Drosophila melanogaster: one gene and its partner. The protein of the gene in region 1 purifies or fractionates together with the protein of each later gene. This does not show direct contact. Each region holds a gene or a part of one and is shown on either strand. Other genes may lie near its edges.

What was found.
Region 2: the proteins of kune (region 1) and wrm1 purify together in Drosophila melanogaster (affinity purification with western blotting, with the first as the bait; one study listed by BioGRID). This does not show direct contact.

What each region holds. Positions count from the first base shown.
Region 1 is NT_033778.4:5,669,706-5,673,606, reverse strand, and holds kune (kune-kune), read right to left. Parts: upstream 1,867-3,901; 5' UTR 1,773-1,866; coding exon 978-1,772; 3' UTR 807-977; downstream 1-806. Other genes in the region: CG8245 (uncharacterized protein), read right to left, coding at 3,761-3,901.
Region 2 is NT_037436.4:7,332,778-7,337,693, forward strand, and holds wrm1 (wurmchen 1), read right to left. Parts: upstream 2,450-4,916; 5' UTR 2,303-2,449; intron 2,122-2,302; 5' UTR 2,059-2,121; coding exon 1,765-2,058; intron 1,693-1,764; coding exon 1,498-1,692; 3' UTR 1,492-1,497; coding exon of another isoform or gene 1,318-1,491; 3' UTR 767-1,317; downstream 1-766. Other genes in the region: mus312 (mutagen-sensitive 312), read left to right, coding at 1-516; wrm2 (wurmchen 2), read right to left, coding at 1,318-1,491; eco (establishment of cohesion), read right to left, coding at 2,894-3,098, 3,161-4,916.

The DNA of each region.
Region 1 (3,901 bases):
CGATGATCGTCCTGCCGAGTCGACTATCCTTCGATTGGTGGGACGAGACCAATCCACACGCGGTTCACCAAATGGCAATACATCCGAAGAAAGTGACTGTTTGGTGCGGATTTACGGCTGCAGTTGTGATTGGTCCGTATTTTTTCGAAAACAATATGGTGTGGCGGTCACCGTCAATGGTGAGCGATATCGATCGATGATAACCAACTTCATATGGCCTGAAATCGAGAATATGGAACTGGACAACATGTGGTTTCAACAGGACTGGCCACCGAGATCGTGTGATTTGACCCCTCTTTTTCATTTGGGGTTTTCGCAGGTCCATGACAACAAGGCGCAAGACACCGATGTCCTCAAAGTCAACATACGCCACGCCATCGATCAAATACAGCCCGATTTGTGCGCGGAGTCATCGAAAATTGGACATTTCGTGCATTTGGTGGTCATTTGAATGATGTCATATTCCATTCATAATGGATTCGATTGACCTTTCAAATTTTTTTTTTCAGTTCAAAGATCAAGCGCCCCAATGAAAACCCTTTATTAGTTTATAGTTTGTCAGAAGATCTTCTGGCTCCCTTCTTACAAGCTAAACTATACTCGCATAGAAGAACTAGCTAAGTGGGTACCTTGTCTGTCTCCTGTATTGTGATCATAATTTAATAACACTGCCAATCAAAATACATACAATCTTGCAAATTTGTAAGACAGACAGTGTAGCTAGCTCCCGCGATTTAACCTAGGCACAGTGTCCTGTCTTTAACATTTTAAGTTAAGAAAATCGGAAAAAAAGGAAAAGATAAAATAAATTATTTGACAAATATTTATTACCTTCGAATTCGATACATTTTAAAAACATTTGTAGTGGATTTAGTGGAATGACTATTCTACCTTACATCGTATATATTTGTATATTTGTTAATTATTATTAAATATTGTGTAAATGGACGGATAATTCCTTCGAATTCATTTTTGATTTATATATCTGTTTGAATTCCTCCTTGTACAGCGGAATTCGATGCACTACTTTGTTGGGGTCTTCTTGGTCGGCTTGGCTCAGATGCAAAATAGGATTGATATGGCGATGGAGCGGTCGGAAGCACTGCGGAGGGTCCCTGATTCTGGTAATACTCATCTCCGTATTCACTGATCTCCCGATTGCTGATTTCGTTTAAGCGCTTGTACCTTTCCCGACGCGCTTCTACTAGATAGAGTACGCCAGACGGCAGTAGCAGCACAGCGCCAACAACGCCCAGAGCAAATGACCAGCCCATATCATTGTTCTGCCATCCTGGCATCCAATCCCGAGAATCTCCTTTGGCGCCAAAAATGACCACAGCAATAAACCCGAAAACAGAGCCCACAACCTGGCATGATCCTATCGCCAGCAGGAGCACCATGTACCTGTCATCATCGCGAGAAGTGCGAAGAAATGCTACAGTGAGTGGTATAACAACAAGGCACATTACAAAGCATAGCGTAGCAAAAAGTTGAACGGATATGTAGAAGCCAGGCAGGAGGAAGTCGTGTATGATGTAATATTCCTCTTCGAAAACCCATAGGCATCCGTTAAAGGAATTGTCAAAAAATCGGTGTATGTCCTGGAAGTTGTTGAAACAAACTTCCCAAAGGCCTAGGTTAGTGAATCGCGGGTTTTGTAATCTGCCGTCTGTAACCAGCCAATAAGGCGTGGAAAACGCGATAACAAAACATATTAGGGAAAACACGGACGCGCAAAGGGCAACTTGTAAAATGCGGTTGGACGCACCCATTTGTTATTTCTATAAAAATTTCGTTAACAAGTCGGCTTGGAAAATAACACGCCCTAAAGTGTGACCGTCGCACTCAAAATGGTATTTTTGAATGACGAATCATCTCGCTTAATATACCACTTCTATGCGGAACGGCTGGGATATAAGCAGATGTGAAACTTTAAAAAGCGCTTCTAATATAACAACATTATAACATCCCACAGTTTTTTTTATAAATCATAACTTAAAAATCCTATGAAATAAATTAAAAGTTTTCAGAGACGACCCAACGGATCATTTGATATTTGTATGGTGCTGGTAGACAGATCTGTAAAATAAGGACAACTCGCTAACATTAGAGAATTCAATCAAAATTGTGTTTTTAAAAATCGATACAGTGGCGATGGATAACAGGAATTCGCACGCAAACACTAATTAGCACTAGCCCATATATATAGTCTAGCACTGACCTTTTGAATTTTGGTGAATAAAGCCTTACGACTTATGCCTTCAATACACAATGCAATACAATTATTCAATACACTGTATAAAAAACTATTTCATACTGAATATTTGAATGGGGAGTATTTCCTGCGTGGTATATTTCTCAATCTCTCTCATCGAAGATCTGATCGCCTGGGCAAATGCATTTTTGTGACATTTTAGTGCATTAATCAAGGTCATAGTGAGTGTTGTTGTTGCCTTTCTGTCGAATAACTTTTGTTATTATTCGAGCCACATCATAAATGTTAAATATCTTTCTTTAATTGCATATTAAAAATAATACATATTACAAATGTAACAAATTTGAAAAAGTATACCATCAAATTTGGAATATATTAATAATTCTTGCAACTTTTGAACCATCATTCTATTCCAATACATTATTCAAGAGTTTTTCTGAAATAGAATTTACACACCTACTGATCGTTTCAAAAAACTGATTGCAATAGATCTGATTTCGTATCGTTGAATTTACCAGAACATCTTTAAGTAATTTATCGAAATATCTGATTAAAATTGGTACATTTTTTATTCACGTATATATTTAGGTGCTTAAGGTCAATACAAACCCCTTTTTTTAAATTGTTCTGATCATAGCAAAAGTTTTGCTTTTCTGTGTAGAAGAATTGATTTATATTCTGATTTCGTATCACCAAAAATAGAAATAACCATCCCAAAGTACACGCATTCTGCGGAATGGAACTTTTTAAAGTAGTGTATTTTAAAAGATAAAAGATAAATGGTTCAAAAGTGTGGACGTGACAGATTTGGTTGGTTTGTGGTCGTTAGAGTGGGCGTAGCAGATCAAAGGAAATTAACAAGACTGATACAAATATCAAAACATGTTTCTTGACTTGACCGGGGTAGGCTTGTGGGGCTCAGAGTGGAAAAAAATTTCGACATATGGATGGAAACTAATAAACTAATACAAAAATTCACAAATATCAAAAAAAAAAATTCGAAAGTGTGGAGGTGGCAGTTTTGACTCGTTTTTGGCCGTAACAAACCAGTCATATCAAAAAAGTGAAACGGCGAGACAAAAAGTAAATTATGTTGAACAATATTTTCCTGGTGATCTGTGGCACATTGTATATTATACAATTATTATATTATATTAATATTATATATTAATATATAATAATTATATTATACATTATTATTATACCAACTTCAATGCCATTAATTTGTTTTATATTTATCTTGGTCTTGATTTAATTTAATAAAAAGGGAAACAAATTGGTTTTACTCACACTACGGACGGGATCGCGCCGTTAAAAATTCACTTCGCCAGCACACACGGAATTAGATACAGATTTATACAAAGACTTTGAAGATAAGTTTTCCGTACATAAACCACCATTATCTGTATTAAATATTTGAAAATGTTTTTATTTTAATTACTTTTAAATTTGATTCTACATAAAGCGCTTTAAATTTGAAATAATTACGTTGAGTTTTAAGTTTTTCATACGAGAAACTAGTTGTGCTTCTTTTTCCTGTGCCGACTAATCGTATTTTAGGTTAACCCGAGACACACTTTCGGATGGCTCAGAATTAACAGCCTCCTTGAGAGGAGGAATTGTCATGCAGTTCCTAATAAAATTACACACACACTGGACGTACTGCTTGGGATATTTGGTGTAAAT
Region 2 (4,916 bases), on another chromosome or scaffold:
CAGGATTTACCAGCCAGATCTGAGCCAATTGTGCGTTCCAAGTCAACTCCTGTGATTATGGAGAGACCACATTCGCAAGTAGCAAAGTCAACCTCTAAAACATTGAAGGCAATTGGGACAAAAAAGGATTTAACATTTAACGATGCCACGGGCGAGGAATTGCTGCGCTTTTCCCAATCCCTTGCCCCGAGTCTTTGCGATGACTTCGAGACCTTTGTCATGCAAACGAACGTTACCAAGAAGACACCACAGCCGCTGGTGCCACTGCACATCGCCTGGCACAATCTCATCTGCGCCAATCCCCAACTGCACGAAAGTGTACTCACGTACGAACCCATTGATTTGCAGGCAGTTTACTTGCACCTGAAGCACATGGGGCATCGATACGATCCAAAGGACCTGAAGACCTTCTTCGACCGGCGTTGCATTATCTTTCGCTATGAACTGGGTGCTCCCGGCAAGCAAGCAGAGCGTCATGTGCGAAGGCACACAAAAAAGCCTTCTAAAAGGAAGTAGATTCTACAAGTTATGGAATTTCATTGTACTTATACCTAACTTTGAATGCATTGAATTATTTTCTAGTATTTACCTTATATTGTATTATTGAATAAGATATTGTTACTTGGTATTTTGCGATCTAAATTTATTGTATGTAAAATTGATAAAACTCAAATACATTCAACACTTTTGTTTGAAGCATTGTTAACCATTCCTATTTGCCATTTCAAGCTACCCACTAGCATCTACGATTAAAAAACACAATATTATTTTGGGGGCCGTAGATTTATTTGATGCAACTTCAAAATACAATATTACAAAACTAATGGACGAATACAAATGTATAGAGTTTGTAGTAGATACAAGACACTGATATTTTCATACGAGTAGAATATTGGACAACATTAAATGCAGCATCTGTAGACAGACTACCCTAAATGGGTATTAAATGTAAAAATACAATTCGATCTTACGGCGCTAGAAAAGACACTTGGACGGTATAAATTTCTTACGAGTCTCTACGTGAAAGGCACATTGTCAGATTGCGATTAATGGAATGGAATCGGCTCGAACAAAACTGGTTGCTAATGAAACTATTTGTACTGCATGCAAAACTGATATGGTTGGTGGGTGCAGACGGGTTAGTGGGCTCTTACAGTAGCTAGGATTAGTTTTGGGGGGAGAGAGATATATAAGAAGCAATTCGTAGCATTGCCGGCATGTATAAGTATGTAAATTAAAGGCAGGGCTGTCCAAGAAATCACCAACAATACCCATTGGTTGAATGGGATTAATGGGACACCCCTGAACACCCCAATATTAGGCATAGCTAATCTCATGCTCATACGTCTTTCCCCGCAGATCCTCGTCATCGGGAAGCGCATGGTGGCGCAAACCGCACAAACGCGGTCCGTAGCGCAGCATGACAATGATAACGCCCACGATGAACAGGGCGACGGCGGCCACGGCGGGATAAAGGAAGTAAAGAGCCATTGCTACTTAGATGTCGCTCTCGCGCTTCTGCAACTCCACGTATTCCTCGCGCTGGCGCTGCTGGTGCAAAGTGCGACCCTCTGGACGTGGTGGACGCTGGTGCTGCTGCTGGTGATGATGATGGTGCGCCGAGTGCACGGGCTCCAAGTCGTCAACGCCGATGACAACGTCGTCGGGGAACACTTGCTGATGGGTTGTGGGCTAGAAAAAGTAATAGTTTCCAAACAATAAGCCACGATTTTTCGGGCTCTGGCCAAAAAACCGAATACTCACATGGAAGCGCTGAAAGTATGAGGCGTCCTTCAGCTCAGTGAAATCCAATGGCGGCTGATTGTGGGGCGTGGCAGACCAAATGGAAACCAACCAGCGATTGCCCGTGTGCCTGTCCTGCCAGTACTTGCGATGCTTGGAGCAGCAGCCCAAGATAATGTTCAGTATTATGATCGTGCCCAGGACAACCGTGCAGATGGCAATGGTCACATAAAACGGCGAGAAGTTGCCGTAGATGTGGCCGGTGAAGTAGGGATTCTTTTCGTACGCCTTGCGTTCCTCTTCGATTGTGGACATAGTCTTATAGGGGTGTGGTCACTTGCAAGAGCCTCAATAGCCTGCTGCACAATGCTCAATGGTCTGGAGGGCAGGGGAAGAAGAGTGAGAAAGCGGTTCAACCACCACGCTGCATGCCACTTGCACCCCGAAACCAATTGCCACCGATTCCAATTTGTCACATTGGGCGTGGCGTCACCAAAGTAAACTAACTAGCAGCACCAGCAGCTCCCCACTTAGCAGCTTATATGCGGATTGCACTTACCATTTGCGCGCGATTGGTGGTCACTGAGATTGGCACAAGTCCCATTCAGGTGTGTTACACACTTCTGCTCTTAAATGTTATTAATTTCAGCCACTTTGCTGCTACGAAAACAACGCCCAAAAGCCAGGCTCAGTGTGCTAGTGATGGCACTTTGTGGACTCGCCGCATGGTTGCAAGCGATCGATAACCATTCATCGATCGCAAGTGCAGGTTGTGTAAATTTTTTACTGCATACATTTAGACATTAAGTTATTTGTTAGAATTTAAATATATTAAACAATGTTTATAAACATACAATTTAAAAATTAACGTATGTGCTATTTTTGTAACACCAAATTTACATGTTTTAAAACCCGACACGTAAGATAAACAATATTAATCTATATTTTCAAAATTAATGCGACTCGAAGAAAATATCGTGTTCATTGCGTAAAAACAGGCATATTAAACCACCATTGTAAACATGTTAAATTGCGCGTCTTCGTGCCGCTAGTAACATAATCGCACTTGCTTATCAACTATTACAGGTTTCGAAGCAATCCTAACTCAAAAACAATCCAGCTATTCAATAGCTTCAATAGATTTCCCCGATCACTGGTCGTAGGTGAGGAAGTTATCCAACCCGGTGAACTGGCGTGCCAGAGCCCGACCATCGTCGGTGGGCGTACTGAAGGCAATGCACTCCCTAGCGATCTCTTGACCGAGCACCGTGTGGCACTGGACGACTCGCAGCAGCTTGCTGGCGATCCCGCTGCGTCGCTGCAGCGGAGAAACCCAGATGCGTGAGACGCCGCAGCTGAAAGAAGGCACATTTTAGCCGTTGACAAGGGAAGGGGCATGCAGTAGGGGATGTCTTACCTGGCCGGGTAGCTTTCCTCGCTGAAGTAGTCCGTGCCATCGACCTGGATGAAACGATGGGCCTGCGAGAGGGGCTGCACCAGGCAGAAGCCTACGATCTGCTGCTTGCGCACTGCTATGAAGGCTACAAAGATCTTTGGCACAATGTACGAGGAATAGCCCAGCTCTTTGTCCACCACACCAATGAGATCCCGCAGTCTGTCGAGCCGAGCTGTCGGAGCGCGTTCGTTGATCCGTATGATGCGCCCGTCGCTGGCCCATTCTGGATAAACGGACACAATGTCCTCGTCGATCCAGCCCTTGAAGCGCAGCACATGGATGGAATTGTGGTACTCGCGATGAAGCAGCTCCTCCTCCGGCTCGTGCACGGTGTACACCAATCCGCACTGCTGGCACTGCCGTGCTCCGAAGGCCTTTTGACCAGCATCGATCTGGTACTGATTCGATCCACCCGCCGCCGTTAGCAATCTCATCGATGTATCCGGCCGACGCCGCAACGATTTCTGGACAACGGGCTGTAAGCGTTGAGTGAATATGGGGAAAAGCTTTGGCTGAACTTCCTCTACTGCTGGCGCATCCTGTTTTGGTGCAATGGCCACCGCTGTATTTTCCACTGTTTCCATCTGAGCAAGCTGCGCAGCCTCCTCGCTGTTCACCACCATGTATAAATTGTCCACAATTTGATTGGCCTCGTCCTTGTAGTCATCCGGATTTGCAATAAATATCTCAAAGTTCTTTTCGGTGCAAATATTGTTGCTAATGAGAAACTCTAGTAAAATTTGCTGTTGCTCCACGACATTGGGATCATCGGTTTGGTATGGCAAACGTTGACGGAACTCAGCAAAGGGATCAATTTCCACATCGTTCGCCTCTGGGGCATACTCAATTATATCCGGTAGCGACTCCGTTTCCATGGTCGTCTCCTCCGCATCAATGGGCGTTGCCTGTACCACCGGATTCGCTTCTACAATCTCATCAACCACCGTATCGTCCAGATTCTTTAGGATCGCATCCACAGTCGCCTGCTCGGCGGAAAATATCGTGGCCGACTTGACGCGCACTTGCCGCGGCTTACGGCGTATCGTTTGGACGAGTTCAATCTTGCCCTGGCTGACGCTGGCCCGGATGTTGTCCGTGATTCTCACCTCCATGCAGGTGCTACTACGGCGGCCCGATTTGAAGAACTTTCGTTTGCTTAGATCGGCTGGCTCGGCGGTTGGGGATTTCTGGACCGGCTCGTGGCGAATTATTGGTATGATAGGCTCCACCTCGATGATGGGATCAATGTCTTCGACATCACTAAGATCGGAGAAATCGGCGGAAGTTTCTTGCCATGCGGTTGCTGGCAGATTGTTATTGTTGTTAGCATCGTCGGCTTCAATCACACTCAATGGTTTGGCCATTTTGATCGGGTCCTTGGCATTACGGAGAATCTGGTGGACTTCCTCCACTTTGGCGCGCTCTTCACGCTTGGTGGTGATCAGGTTCTTGAGCCGTTCGTTGCTCAGCGAGTTGAGAATGTTGTCCATATCGGTGGCTGGCAGTCGGTTGGCAAAACCGTGACGCTTGCGTATTTTGTGGTGAACTCCCTTATTAATGCCCAATAGTGGACGGGAGGTTGGCGAGATTTTCGTTGGTTGTTTAAGCGAATTCTTGGATATGGACGGCCGCCTTCTTGACTTTGTGACCGCTTCTCCACTGTGGGAATAGAAGGCCATGGTGGGAATGCTGCTGCTCAGCGTCACCTTGCGCATCT